Arabidopsis thaliana: one gene and its partner. The gene in region 1 interacts genetically with each later gene. Each region holds a gene or a part of one and is shown in the gene's direction. Other genes may lie near its edges.

The links. A genetic interaction does not mean that the proteins touch.
Region 2: changes in AT3G18060 (region 1) and ACT7 are lethal when combined (synthetic lethality), as found in Arabidopsis thaliana (one study listed by BioGRID).

Annotation. Positions count from the first base shown.
Region 1 is NC_003074.8:6,179,013-6,187,575, forward strand, and holds AT3G18060 (transducin family protein / WD-40 repeat family protein), read left to right. Parts: upstream 1-4,599; 5' UTR 4,600-4,867; coding exon 4,868-5,256; intron 5,257-5,481; coding exon 5,482-5,643; intron 5,644-5,760; coding exon 5,761-5,947; intron 5,948-6,227; coding exon 6,228-6,653; intron 6,654-7,026; coding exon 7,027-7,434; intron 7,435-7,518; coding exon 7,519-7,776; 3' UTR 7,777-8,139; downstream 8,140-8,563. Other genes in the region: AT3G18050 (GPI-anchored protein), read left to right, coding at 1,919-2,584, 3,240-3,581; BGLU43 (beta glucosidase 43), read left to right, coding at 8,282-8,495. UniProt on the Arabidopsis thaliana protein: Binds actin. Enhances the F-actin depolymerization activity of actin-depolymerizing factor (ADF) proteins.
Region 2 is NC_003076.8:3,047,302-3,054,304, forward strand, and holds the start of ACT7 (actin 7), read left to right. Parts: upstream 1-4,760; 5' UTR 4,761-4,961; intron 4,962-5,501; 5' UTR 5,502-5,507; coding exon 5,508-5,567; intron 5,568-5,661; coding exon 5,662-6,055; intron 6,056-6,141; coding exon 6,142-6,755; intron 6,756-6,853; coding exon 6,854-6,919; 3' UTR 6,920-7,003. Other genes in the region: IDL3 (inflorescence deficient in abscission (IDA)-like 3), read left to right, coding at 1-216. UniProt on the Arabidopsis thaliana protein: Actins are highly conserved proteins that are involved in various types of cell motility and are ubiquitously expressed in all eukaryotic cells.

The DNA of each region.
Region 1 (8,563 bases):
ATAGAAATGTTGTGTGAATCATCGGAGGAGAAGGAAACGAGATTTGATTGTTGATTGATTCAAAATTAAATCTGGGTATTTATCGTTTGTGGAGTTATGGGTTTAGTAATTATAGGAAGTTCCGATAATGAGTTTATTTTTAATTTGGATTTTCATATCATGGGTTATGGGTAGTTATCGTCTTCTTTGTACTTCTCAATTTCAATTTGGAGACAGTGAGGTTGTTGTCTCACGACGGAGAAGATGAAGATCATCATCAACACATTCGAGGGCAAAATGGTCATTTACAGACCAAAAAGTACCCAGACTTATAAGCCCAAATAAAATATGTTTCTATTCTAATTTTTGGGTCAAAATATGCCCATATGTACAAAAACCCCTACAATAATGTTGTAAATTTTAGTTTCTTCTTTTACTCTATAGTCTAAGTCTATATCCAAATTGACTGACTAAGTTTATTTTTGATATGATATTTGAAGTTTGAACACGGTAAGTATATTATAAATTTACCATTTGTAACTCTATAGTAAAATAGTCTCTTGTCCTTGTGACGTAAGTGAATCCATCTTGCATTACGTTATAGATAGATACTTTTGTAATGGCATTCCCGAAAAAGGGTTTTGTAGTGTTATAGTTTAAGCAGCTTTCACTACAACAAACCATTCGCATGCCTGACATTACCTTTTTAACATGGAGCTCCACATAATTCTTTCTTTTTCCTTTTTACTATCAACCAATAGTGTTTTGTGGGTAAAATGGATATAAAAGTAAAATTCCATGAACATACTTGTACTATTAATCTCGAGATAAATCCTAGACTCCTAGTGTTTATGTTCTTGTGGTCGTCGTCGTCCAACTAGTTCTTGCTTCAACAAAATAAGAAACAAAACAAAACCAAATTAATAGAGACTCCTAGAAATCAAAGGACTAAAAAACACTTGGAACAAAAAGACAGAAGTTAGACTTCTTTTTCTTTTGAGATAGAATATTTTTTTTATTTCATGGAAATAAGAGTAAAGTTGTTATACAACTCTTTATTTTTCTTTATCAAAAAAATGTTTTATTACAACTCAAAAGTTTCATGAAAATTGACAAAACAGCTAAAGTATAAGTCTATAACCATAATAAAACTAATCTGACGACTTTTTTCTTATAGCTATATTAGTGATTGAAAAAATTGCATGGTCTCTTGTTTTCCATGACATTTAAGTTGCGAAAAATTAATTGCATTATATTGTAAACTAATTAACGGAAAAGTTTATCTGCATTACGAGACAAACACATGCTAGTACTATAATTTTGTAGTTTATCTGCATTGTTGAAATCGGACTCTGCTAATTTTATTGATTATACAGATTACATATCAAATCTAGTAAATATGTAGCGTTTAAAAATAAAATAAAAAAGTACTCAAATATGATAAGCTAAACTTAAACGAATCCTTCCAAACTCTTATGTATTGAAATTATTAACAAATAACAGTGAACCTGTCGATCACTTGCCTCTGTGATCTTTCAAGTTTCAATGCAAAGAACAATCGTCCCGTGATTCACAACCCTCAATATTCAACTAAGGTTACCCTAATAAGTAATAATCCAATATGATTTCATTATTCATAAAATAGTCGCCAGCATGGATTACGATTAAAAAGTTTATTTTTTCTATTATTGTCCTACACACTGAAAAATGGAGTGTTAACGAAGCATAAGAAATGTTTTGTAATTTTAAGAATGTTTGATCACAAATTTTTTTCCACTGATTTTTTTACATTATTAAAACTAATAAAAAAACTGACTTAGTAGTATTAAATTGGTATATATCGAGATCCCATTTGTGATATTTTATTACACATCTCTTCCAGTCTCTCACTCTTTGTCCCTCTCTCTTTCTCTATTACTCTGTCTCCTCTGTTCCGGCGATGTTCCAACACGCGCCTTCTTCCATTTCCCTCATCATCATCTTCCTCTTCACCATTCTATCACCCGTTTCACCTGAACCGGTCACAGTCCAGCCATTCCGGGTCAAATCATCCCCACCCGCAACCATACCCGCTTTCCCGGAGCAATCCGATTTCTCCGGCTGCCCACTCGATTTACCAGAAGACCTCTTCCACGGCATCAAGTCAGCTTGCAGCGGCAAAAAGCTCCACAAAGGAAAATGTTGCCCCGTACTAGGCGCGTGGCTCTACTCTGCTTACTCAACCACTGCTCTAAGCCGTTCGATTTCCGCCGCCGCAAGAAACTCATCCTCCTCCTCCGCCGCGGTAACGACTCCTGAAGAAGATATGCCTTTGCTTCCCGATGACTCGGAGACTTGCGTTGACGGATTAGGGAAATCTCTGAGGCAGAGAGGGATTGAGCTCACTAGACCGAACGAGACTTGCGACGTCGTTTACTGCTACTGTGGAATCAGATTGCATCCGTTGAGCTGTTCCGAGGCTTTTAGAGTGAATGATGAAGGGAGACTCGTTGGAGACGAGAGAGTTGATAGATTAGAGACTGATTGTTTGAGTGGAAGCCACAACAATGCTGATGGATTCTCACCTCTTCTTGGTTGCAACAAGTGCTTGAACAGTCTCTATAAGGTAAAGTCACTAACTTTGCTGCTATATTTAGAAGCTGCCACTGTGAAGTTCAAATGGAATTAGGTTGGCTAAATTGGTAAAATGTGTGTGCAAATCTAGTAACTTTTAGATAATCTATAGATACCCTGAAGCGTTGTTGGTGTTTAGCTTCTGGATTTTGTTTGATTGACTGATTAAGACAATTTTTTGGATGAGTAATGAGGAATTGATGGACTAGTTATAGTAGTTAACTATGTAAGGTTTAGTCCAAAGTTTAGAAGCCCTTTTTTAATGATATTTATTTGGTGTTTAAGGATTAGGGTTTTACTATATGAGTGAGTGAAGATTTGGAATTATGTAGTTTAGGATTCTTTCTGATCTATCCATCATATGGCGAATGGTAGTAATTTGGGAAAAGTTTTGTTCTTTAGCTTTTTGTTCTCTTTCTATCTGACAGTCTGACACACATATACGCGCTAACAGAATCCGTGATCTCCACGCGACGTTTTGTCTTCCATCATATGATTTCATTCTTCTGCATCTTAATCACCAACCCACCATAGCCAAAAGCTTAGCAACTAGTTGCCACCTTTCTACTTTCTACAATCCTCAATCATTACTTTAGTCAGCAGCAACAAACCCTAATCAAAACAAACACTTCTGCTTCATTTTGCAGCTAAATCCGAAGAAAACTTCAGGGACAAGAAACCCATCAAAGGAAGACCGAAACAGAACAGCAAAGATGCACAACAAAGACTGTGTCCTCATGGGTCTCACTTGGCTTCTCGCTAAGAACCGTACTGCTTATTTCCCCACTGTCACTTCTGTCCTCCGAGCCGTCATGCTGAACCACGATGGCGTGCCACGTTCATGTGCTCTCGGCAGCGACGGCATGCCTTTAGCCGTCGATTCTTCCGAATTCTCCAACGGCTCGCCAACTTCACTTCAGTATCCGCACCACTTGGTCCACTTCTTACTTTACAGCGTTATCACATTAGTCCTAATAAGGTCGTGGTGACGTGGCACACCATGGTTGGATTTGATTGTGACGTGGAGCACGTGGCATTACGTGGTTGGTTGAGAGAAGTGAAATTCAGATAGAGAGAAAGAGAGAGGGCTTTGGTTCTGTCTTTGTAAATTAGTTTTTTGGTGTCGTTGTTGTTTTAGTAGCCATGTTCTTTAACATTTTATTACATCAAAAAAATCTTGTTGTATTTTGTCAATTAAATATTGAAAAATCACAATTTGAAAATATTTCAACAATATTTTCGGTCATATCAAATTATATGAGCGCAATCAATATAAATATATCAGTTTTTGGGAGGAGAAGAATAATAGTCAGAGAAAGGCATGTGAGTAATGGGGACGAGGTGGTGTGGCTGGTTTGAGAGAGACAGAGAGACTTGTGACAGCTTTGTTCTTATGTTTCCTTATCTTCTCTCTAACCACGGATGCTCCTATAACAATAATACATTCATGATTCATCCCTATCATATTCTATATTTTATATGAATTATCAATGCGACCAAGAGATGTAAAAAGCCCCACGACTGACACTTTATTTTCTCATATAGTTCAAATAATATTTCATTCAATAATCGAATGCTTCCATTCGTTAGATTTTTCCTTTGAGAAATATTATGAAAAAGATATTTCATAACATTTTTTTTGTGGTAGTGATTAGATAGAGGTTCACTAATGCGCCAATCAACTGCTAGCGATTCATTGACTTTGGCATTATTGCGTATATAACTGGGCTGGGCTAAACTAACTTGCCCATGGGCCGCACATTTACCTTTTTGGCCAAATAACACACCCATTAGTCTAATCTAAAATTACAATGGTAAAAACATGAGAGATTGAGGAATTGATTAAAATGGAATGAAGATAATAGAGAAATAATTTGGTTCCACTCATTTCTAATTTAGTAGAAAATATATAATTTTTCAAAATTGTTCATAATTCAAGGTATTTCCAACAAAAATCAATGGAAGTTTATTATTCTTAATGTTATATACTACTCTGCATTATGATATGTAAGTCTTAAGAAACAAAGTGATTAGCACAAAACTATTATACAACTACACTTTACATTATTTTTGGGTTATCTAATGAGTTTGTGCCAGAGAAGTGAATGTTGCAACAATGATTATCATTACATTATCTTTCTAATTACAACAACTAAATATTAACAAATGTAATGTCAAACAAAACTCAAAAAGACTCAAATCCGTCCTTCCATTTTCCTCGTCTCTCTTCTTCCCCGTAAACCCAAAAACAATCTCTGCAAAGTCCTCGGTTCTGATGGAGCTTTCAGAAACCTATGCTTGTGTTCCATCGACGGAGAGAGGTAGAGGAATTCTGATCTCTGGTAACTCGAAGTCCGATACCATCCTCTACACTAATGGTCGATCCGTCGTGACTCTCGACCTTAACAATCCTTTAAAGGTCTCTATCTATGGTGAGCACGCTTACCCAGCTACTGTGGCGCGATATTCTCCGAACGGAGAGTGGATCGCGTCTGGTGATGTGTCGGGGACTGTTAGAATCTGGGGAGCTTACAACGATCATGTGTTGAAGAATGAGTTTAAGGTTTTGGCTGGTCGGATCGATGATCTTCAGTGGTCTGCTGATGGGATGAGGATCGTTGCTTCTGGTGATGGCAAAGGCAAATCTCTTGTTCGTGCTTTCATGTGAGTTTGGTTTTGCTTTTTAGATAAAGATTTGATTTTTATAGTGCTTAGCTCAATGTTGTTTTCGTTGATTTTGATTGATCGGACTAAAGGTTTTGTTTTTCTGCTGGTGTTGCTTTTATTTTGTTGAATCGGATCGATATTAATCAGATTGAAATTGAGCATTTTGTTTCTTCTTCTCAACTTTGATGGATTATTGACTCATTGTTTGTCTTGGTTTATTAGGTGGGATTCAGGATCAAATGTGGGAGAGTTTGATGGTCATTCTAGGAGAGTTCTTAGCTGTGCTATCAAGCCAACTAGGCCGTTCCGTATTGTAACTTGTGGGGAGGATTTTCTGGTGAATTTCTATGAAGGTCCTCCTTTTAAGTTCAAGCTCTCAAGCAGGTCAGATATTCATGTGCTCCCTTTCTTTAAAGAAATATGACACTTTCGATATCTGTTTAAATTTCCTGCTTGTGAGTTTCTGAATTGTTTACGAGATTGCTGTTTATTGGTCGACAGAGAGCATTCCAACTTTGTCAACTGTGTGAGGTTTGCACCAGATGGAAGTAAGTTCATTACTGTGAGTTCAGATAAGAAGGGAATCATATATGATGGAAAGACTTGTGAGATACTGGGAGAACTGTCTTCTGATGATGGGCATAAAGGTAGCATCTATGCAGTCAGCTGGAGTCCTGATGGTAAACAGGTACTAAGTTATATCTGTTTGTTGTTCCGTATTCTCAACTCTTGCCTGATTCCCTCATATTACGCTCAAACTACATTAGGCTTAAACAAGGTCTACTAGAATAGCGTATGGAAGTAATTGGTCTAACCTGCTGCAGTATGACGTACATAAATGAACTATCTTGGGTGTATCTATGAAGACTGAATGACATATTCTCTATCTTCTAGTTGTTGATTACATCATGGTTGATGTTATGCTACGTCTGTACTCACGTGTTGTATATGTTTGAATCATCAACCAGGTGCTCACTGTTTCCGCAGACAAGTCAGCCAAAATATGGGATATATCAGACAACGGTAGTGGATCATTGAATACAACATTGAACTGTCCTGGATCATCAGGTGGAGTAGACGATATGCTTGTTGGGTGTCTGTGGCAGAACGATCATATTGTCACTGTTTCTCTAGGTGGCACAATCAGCATATTCTCAGCAAGCGATCTGGATAAATCCCCCTTTCAGTTTTCGGGACACATGAAGAACGTCTCTTCCTTAGCTGTGCTTAAAGGAAACGCTGATTACATATTATCCGGTAGTTATGATGGACTGATATGTAAATGGATGCTAGGCCGTGGTTTTTGCGGTAAATTGCAGCGGACACAAAACTCTCAAATAAAGTGCTTTGCTGCCCATGAAGAAGAGATCGTGACCTCTGGATATGACAATAAGGTAAACTGGTTCTCACTTTAATTTTTATTCACATGTAGGACTTGTCACCTTGATTTCTGCAGTGTCTGAATTTGGTGTTTAGGGGATTGAATGTAAGGACGAAACAAGTGAATTAGGTTTTTTTCTCTCTGAAATATTGGCAATTCTAAAGACACAATGGTCTCTTAAGATTATTAACACTTTGGAAAAATATACTAATGATCTTGTGGTTTAGAGAATTTAAAAGAGCGATCACTGAAGGCCAAATGGTCTTTACCTTGTAAGACTAGCAGTGACTAATATTTTTTATTTCGTAGGTTATCTAATTGCTTCCAAGCATTATTGTTATTGAAGCAACTAACTCACGTTTATTCACTATGTGATTCTTATTCAGATATCCAGGATCTCCTATAAAGATGATCAATGCACAAATGAAGAGTCTATCGACATTGGAAATCAACCAAAGGATCTAAGCCTTGCACCACTCTCACCCGATCTCCTTCTGGTGACCTTTGAGTCAGGAGTTGTGTTTCTTCGTGATGGGAAAGTAGTGTCAACCATCAACCTTGGGTTCATTGTCACTGCTTTGGCAGTAACACCTGATGGAACCGAAGCTGTCATCGGTGGCCAAGACGGTAAACTCCATTTGTATTCTATTAATGGTGACTCCCTCACCGAGGAAGCAGTTCTCGAGAGACACAGAGGCGCCATCAGCGTCATACGTTACTCTCCAGATTTGTCTATGTTTGCATCAGCTGATTTGAACAGAGAAGCAGTTGTGTGGGACAGAGTCTCCAGAGAGGTAAGTAATTAAGATTATTTAGAATCTCTCCATGAATCTGGAACACAAACACTGATCTTATATCGTCCCTTTTTTTTTAAACAGATGAAACTCAAGAACATGTTGTACCATAGCGCCCGCATAAACTGCTTAGCTTGGTCTCCAAACAGCACTATGGTTGCCACAGGATCCTTGGACACGTGTGTGATTGTGTATGAAGTGGACAAACCTGCTTCGTCACGCATGACAATAAAAGGAGCTCACTTAGGTGGAGTATATGGTCTGGGTTTTGCTGATGATTCCCATGTAGTGAGTTCTGGTGAAGATGCTTGTATCCGCGTCTGGAGCTTTACTCCTCAATAAGACTTGACGTAAATTATAAAGATCTCTGGACAAGTCCTATCTTGTCTCTTTGGAAAGCTTCTACTACTTTTGAAGGCTTTTTTTGTGAATCTTCCGTTTGGCCGTGGCTGTGTTGATGTGTGTGTCTGTTTTTTTTTTTGTCTGCATATCTTTTGTCAAAAATGAATGCTCTGTTTTGGTCTGAAACTGAGATCTTGAGTCAGATTTTTTTTCATTATCAGAAGATTACTGATACAGAATGGGACTTGAGATTGTGCTTTCTCTCAATGATTTTTGGGCTCTATAATATTTGTTCTTCTTACAAAAGTTGTTTTCTGAAGTAGATGAAAACAGAGGAGATTTTTCAATTAATTTATCTGATCAATAGTTAATCAACCTTATTAACAAAAATGATTAAATAATTAATCTCGCTTATAATTCTAAGCCTGAAGCAAGAAGACACACATTGATCCTCGTTCATAATTCACTCCCCAGTCCCCACATTCTGTCCCATAGTGAGCTTCACATGTTTCTTTTTCTCCTCCTCCTCTCTGCTTCCCGCTCCGGCGAAGAGTCGCCGTCCGGAGACGCCGTCCCATTGGCCACCGGCGGTCTTAACAGAAAGAGTTTTCCGGAAGGATTCTTGTTCGGAACCGCCACGTCAGCTTACCAGGTCGAAGGCGAGACCCACCAAGATGGTCGTGGTCCAAGCATTTGGGATGCATTCGTCAAGATTCCTGGTTAATCTCATAATCAATCTAATTACAATTCACTAATTAAACTGATTAGTTAATCATTTCGATTTCTT
Region 2 (7,003 bases), on another chromosome or scaffold:
TGCTGCAATGGAGCAAGAACCACGAACGTCTTCAACACAAGCTCGCCACCCAAACAAAAGGACGTCGTTTCGCCACCTCATGATCATGTCCATCATCAAGTACAAGATCACAAAAGTGTACAGTTCTTGGGGTCCCTGCCACGTCAGTTTCCGGTTCCAACTTCTGGTCCTTCCAGAAAACATAACGAAATCGGTTTAAGTAGTACTAAGACTTAATCTTCACCTTGTAGTTCAAAGGTTTGATTAATGAATCATCCTTTTTACTTCTGTAAGTTTTTTTTGTTTTAGTTTTTGCCCCTTTTGAATTTGGTTCAAACTGATGTAAATAGATTTCAGTTTGATTTATTTATGGGCAATGCTGTGGATACGATCAAATTTTTTAGTTTAATATTGGAACTTGTTTGATCCATTGAAATATTGCAAGTACGTAAGAGCATCCACATTGGTGGTTATTTATACATGTCTTTAAATATAAAACTATAAAAAATAATAATAATAAAATAATGAATGTCTTTAATTTGAGATTTGTGTCTTCCTAAAGACACTTTATACACAACAAAAGTGAAATGTCTTTAATTTTATTATTTATTTATACTAAAAACATATATAAAAAGTTGTCTACTCTAAGTGTACAAGAGCCGAGGATAGAAGGGTCGGTTTCTAATTAAACAATTATTGTTCTTTTTATTTTCCGTCTTCTAATTTGATATATATGAAATTATATATCATATGTTCACTGTATCCTAATCGTGGATTATTACGGACATAATGATAATTGTTGAGATATATACAAGTCCCGATCAATTTAGGCTACATCTGTTTGGTAGAATATTGATGGATATAAGCCGAGTAGTGATTTCAATATTTTATATCCACTCTCTTCTTATAAGTTATGGTAATAACAAATAGAAGGTTATTCTACATATACTAGTATTTGAGTTGGTGTTTAAATACCTCGGGTTATTCGGACATGCATAGAGAAAATATATGGTATTTTAAGATAAACATTATCCCATAATATATGGACATTGACAAATACAAATAATGTGTGTTCGTGCGTAAAAGAATTGTCATTTCTTTAAAATAAGAAGGAATGAAAGATTGAAAGGTATATGTTCTAACTAAAACGTGTGATTAAGATTGGACTTATATACATAGTTGATTACTTTGGATGTATCTTTTTGTTTAATTTTTGTTTCAATAATGTCATTGAGTAGTCGTTGTGAATACGATTGACCAACGGTTGCAGAGATATATTGGAGGATTTGATGTGATATCTCCTAAGAATTTCAGAAGTTCATTGAACGTTTTTTTGGGGTTAGTGAAATAGTATCATTTGTATCTTTTTGCATAATTTTTGAAAAATCATTCATATCCACTTGATTCTCATTCAAACTTTGAATACCTTTATTCGAATTCCATGTGATGATTTATACTTTTCAAGAACACTATGGTCCCTTGACTCCATTGTCTCGCTTACAACTTTAGTTTACGTCATTAACAAGTAATTAGGCTTGAGCTATAGCCTATAGCCTATAGATAAGCTAGTTAAAAGGTCAAACAAGGAGATTCCATAAACTGTAAAATAAAACTTCCAAAAATGGGTTGTATATAGGGAATTGTATCTTTTACATACGTTAGTTCTGACTGTATTATTTTTTTTAGTACTGTCCTTTTTTGTTCTTATATAAAAATGGATCGGATACACATTTAAACATTAGTACTTACGGGTACATGTCTATCCTCATATGTATTATCCAATACATACACTTACGGACATATGAAAGTGAACGATCGACTCTAATTCAAGTGAAGTAATTCTGCTAACTGCAATAATCTACATTTTATAAAGTTTGCACTTTTTTTTTGTTTTAGCTACGTTTGAATTCTTAACTTACTATATATATATTATTTAAAAAAGCTTACTATATTAAAACATCTTATATTTATTGATCAACCACTCATGAATCGAATTAAAAGTACTTCCACATATATGTATTCAAATTGTTTAGATAACTTAACCATCCTTTACGTGACAGCGCTATTCAATTACAACATGGGTCTTACAACATTTGGATTTATTTTGACGCCTTGTTGGTAATGAGTTTATTAGATAATTGAAATTTTTGGTCACCGCTGTCCGCTGCGATGGTGTGTGTATTATTATTAATCATGCATGCGTGTGAGATTGAATAAATTAATATAAGTCAAATTGGCTGAAAACGTTGTGACAAATACTAGAGTGTCTATATATATCAGGATTATGATATGCGGGCATGTGATGTGTCTAATGCGTACGTGTGCACTCGTGTCCACGTGCACATACACGTGCGGTGTACCCCGCGTTGATAGGGTCTCGATTATTTCCAATCACGTATATCAATTGTTTTTGTTTTTGTTCTTTTTGATAAAAAAAATTTTTGTTACTTCACAATTCACATATGTATCCAAATGCAAGCGACAAACATATTCGCACGAAAGAGTCGAATGTTTTGGTTAGTGATAGAACATTATATATTGATCTTGATCGTATGATTTCATTTATATTTAGGGACTGAATTATATATTATATTGTAACATTTAACATACAGTATATCATGTGTTGCTAGTTATGATTTACATGCACTTCGAAAATGGTATCTGATTTTTTATATGATTTAGAACTTATCTGGCACACATCATTGAATAGGATCTAACACATTAAAACACTGTCTAACTTATTTGTTTGTATGTGTGTGTTAAATCATCATTTTAGCTAAGATTTTTAACCATAGGCAAAGAAATGACTCAAATGAGCAAACGAGAAACTGCAGACAGCAACATATATCAAACTAACTCTAATAGGCCCAATATAGCCCAATAAGAAGTGTGACCGATGGAGGGAAGAATCGAATTTAAATGATACAGAGTTTTTTTGTTTGGAGAGGAATAGACTGATATGATAGTCCGTGAAAATATTTTCATCTTGTTTTCAATGTGGAGATATTTTAAAGTTTGAAACCAATCCAAGTTCTAAAACATCAAAAGCTTTTATTCTCTGTTTAAACCACTTGGTTGGTCTTGGTCTTCTTGAAATATACAAACCAGACCCAAACGATAATCAGTGAAGATGACTGCATCATTGGGTCTTTAAGTTTCCTATTGGGCCAAATCAGCCCAACTATATTATTGTTATTATTTCAGTCCATTAAAGATTTTCGGCCCGTTTTATCGTTGGGAATTCATCTATATTTCCCCAATTTGATGATACACAGAACAATTTCATGTGTATACGATAAGAGGCAAATTCAAAATTTGCAATCAATGTAAAGTGGAAATGAGAAGCATGGTGGCTCAAATCAACTTATCTTTCCTTGGAATACAAACTACAAATGATGACGGATTTGGCTTCCCTTTGAATTTACCTTTTACCTCTCTCTTTTTTTTTTTTTATAGGTAATGTTGTTATTGGACAAAAATGTTAAGAAAATAAAGGTGAATGATAAATTAGAAGAGTACCCATAACTATTTTGATTATTTAAGTTGCCAACCAAGCTAGACCACTTTCCAACTTTTATAGACAAAGTGTAAGAACTTAGCACATGCTTTCCAACAAGGAATATGAAACTTTATTTCAAAAAGATTATTGTTAAAGCTTTTAATCATTCTAAAAGGTGATTAATATTTGAATTATTGGAAGTAACTTGTTTTGGACATATACCAAATTAATCAATAGTATCAATGGACATATAACATGTTGTGAGACTATATCAATGTTATATTCCAAGCCAGTTAAACCAATTTATAATGATACCATTTATAGATAAACAATACACTTTACACACATTATTTTCTTAGAATTGGGTCTCATATAGAACACTCACAAAGGTGACTTATAAAAAATGCTTCAAAGATCCTAGTCTTTTAGTGTGCATTCCTCAAAATCGTAGTTGATATGTATCTTGCTCCTATTCGGGTTTTGGTCTAGAATTTTGGTTTCAGGAATTTTCAATTAACTCATTAAAACATTTATAACATAAAAAGATATATCACGAAAACCGATCAATCATTTAATATATTTTTATTTTATTTTATTTTTTGTCACAATAAAATCTAGACAATAGTGTTTAAACATTTATCAAAAAATTCACCTTACGATTAATTTGTTTTATATTTTGTGATGATGCAATTTAATCTATATAAATTATAAAACATATCGATAATCTGTGTTTTTCTTTTTCTACATATAAAATTCATAAAAATGAGAGTTTTGAAGCTCTTAAAATGGACTAGTCAACAATTGGCCAATCTTTGTTCTAAATTGCTAATAAACGACCATTTCCGTCAATTCTCCTTGGTTGCAACAGTCTACCCGTCAAATGTTTACTAATTTATAAGTGTGAAGTTTGAATTATGAAAGACGAAATCGTATTAAAAATTCACAAGAATAAACAACTCCATAGATTTTCAAAAAAACAGTCACGAGAAAAAAACCACAGTCCGTTTGTCTGCTCTTCTAGTTTTTATTATTTTTCTATTAATAGTTTTTTGTTATTTCGAGAATAAAATTTGAACGATGTCCGAACCACAAAAGCCGAGCCGATAAATCCTAAGCCGAGCCTAACTTTAGCCGTAACCATCAGTCACGGCTCCCGGGCTAATTCATTTGAACCGAATCATAATCAACGGTTTAGATCAAACTCAAAACAATCTAACGGCAACATAGACGCGTCGGTGAGCTAAAAAGAGTGTGAAAGCCAGGTCACCATAGCATTGTCTCTCCCAGATTTTTTATTTGGGAAATAATAGAAGAAATAGAAAAAAATAAAAGAGTGAGAAAAATCGTAGAGCTATATATTCGCACATGTACTCGTTTCGCTTTCCTTAGTGTTAGCTGCTGCCGCTGTTGTTTCTCCTCCATTTCTCTATCTTTCTCTCTCGCTGCTTCTCGAATCTTCTGTATCATCTTCTTCTTCTTCAAGGTGAGTCTCTAGATCCGTTCGCTTGATTTTGCTGCTCGTTAGTCGTTATTGTTGATTCTCTATGCCGATTTCGCTAGATCTGTTTAGCATGCGTTGTGGTTTTATGAGAAAATCTTTGTTTTGGGGGTTGCTTGTTATGTGATTCGATCCGTGCTTGTTGGATCGATCTGAGCTAATTCTTAAGGTTTATGTGTTAGATCTATGGAGTTTGAGGATTCTTCTCGCTTCTGTCGATCTCTCGCTGTTATTTTTGTTTTTTTCAGTGAAGTGAAGTTGTTTAGTTCGAAATGACTTCGTGTATGCTCGATTGATCTGGTTTTAATCTTCGATCTGTTAGGTGTTGATGTTTACAAGTGAATTCTAGTGTTTTCTCTTTGAGATCTGTGAAGTTTGAACCTAGTTTTCTCAATAATCAACATATGAAGCGATGTTTGAGTTTCAATAAACGCTGCTAATCTTCGAAACTAAGTTGTGATCTGATTCGTGTTTACTTCATGAGCTTATCCAATTCATTTCGGTTTCATTTTACTTTTTTTTTAGTGAAAAATGGCCGATGGTGAGGATATTCAGCCACTTGTCTGTGACAATGGAACTGGAATGGTGAAGGTGAGTTAGACTGTTTATTTAGATACTGTATGGTTCTAACCTTCTTTGTTGTACATGTGTAAGACTACTGATCATGATTTTTGTATATTAACAGGCTGGTTTTGCTGGTGATGATGCCCCGAGAGCAGTGTTCCCAAGTATTGTTGGTCGTCCTAGGCACACTGGTGTCATGGTTGGTATGGGTCAGAAAGATGCTTACGTTGGTGATGAAGCTCAGTCCAAGAGAGGTATCCTCACTCTGAAGTATCCAATCGAACATGGTATTGTAAGTAACTGGGATGACATGGAAAAGATATGGCATCACACTTTCTACAACGAGCTTCGTGTTGCCCCTGAGGAGCACCCAGTTCTACTCACAGAGGCACCTCTTAACCCTAAAGCTAACAGGGAGAAGATGACTCAGATCATGTTTGAGACATTCAATGTCCCTGCCATGTATGTTGCCATTCAGGCCGTTCTTTCTCTCTATGCCAGTGGTCGTACAACCGGTTAGTTCTTAACTCTAAACATCCAAGTCTGAGTTATATTATCTTCTTACTTGTATTTACTTAAAGTCGTTCTCTTTTTGTAACAGGTATTGTGCTCGATTCTGGTGATGGTGTGTCTCACACTGTGCCAATCTACGAGGGGTATGCTCTTCCTCATGCTATCCTTCGTCTTGATCTTGCGGGTCGGGATCTCACAGACTCACTCATGAAGATTCTCACTGAGAGAGGTTACATGTTCACCACTACCGCAGAACGGGAAATTGTCCGTGACATAAAGGAGAAACTTGCTTATGTCGCTCTTGACTACGAGCAAGAGCTAGAGACAGCCAAGAGCAGTTCTTCAGTGGAGAAGAACTACGAGCTACCTGATGGACAAGTCATAACCATCGGAGCTGAGAGATTCCGTTGTCCTGAGGTTCTGTTCCAGCCATCGCTCATCGGAATGGAAGCTCCTGGAATCCATGAAACAACTTACAACTCCATCATGAAATGTGATGTCGATATCAGGAAGGATCTCTATGGAAACATCGTTCTCAGTGGTGGTTCCACCATGTTCCCAGGAATTGCTGACCGTATGAGCAAAGAGATCACCGCTCTTGCACCTAGCAGCATGAAGATCAAGGTGGTTGCACCGCCAGAGAGAAAATACAGTGTCTGGATCGGAGGATCAATCCTTGCATCCCTCAGCACCTTCCAACAGGTAAAAATCCCAATTCCGCCTCTTTAAAACTTTCAGCTCCATTTATGAAACATGAGTGAAAATACTGAAATTTTGTTTTGTTTGTGTGTGTGAATCAGATGTGGATTTCAAAGAGTGAGTACGATGAGTCAGGTCCATCGATTGTTCACAGGAAATGCTTCTAAGTGTGTCTTGTCTTATCTGGTTCGTGGTGGTGAGTTTGTTACAAAAAAATCTATTTTCCCTAGTTGAGATGGGAATTGAACTAT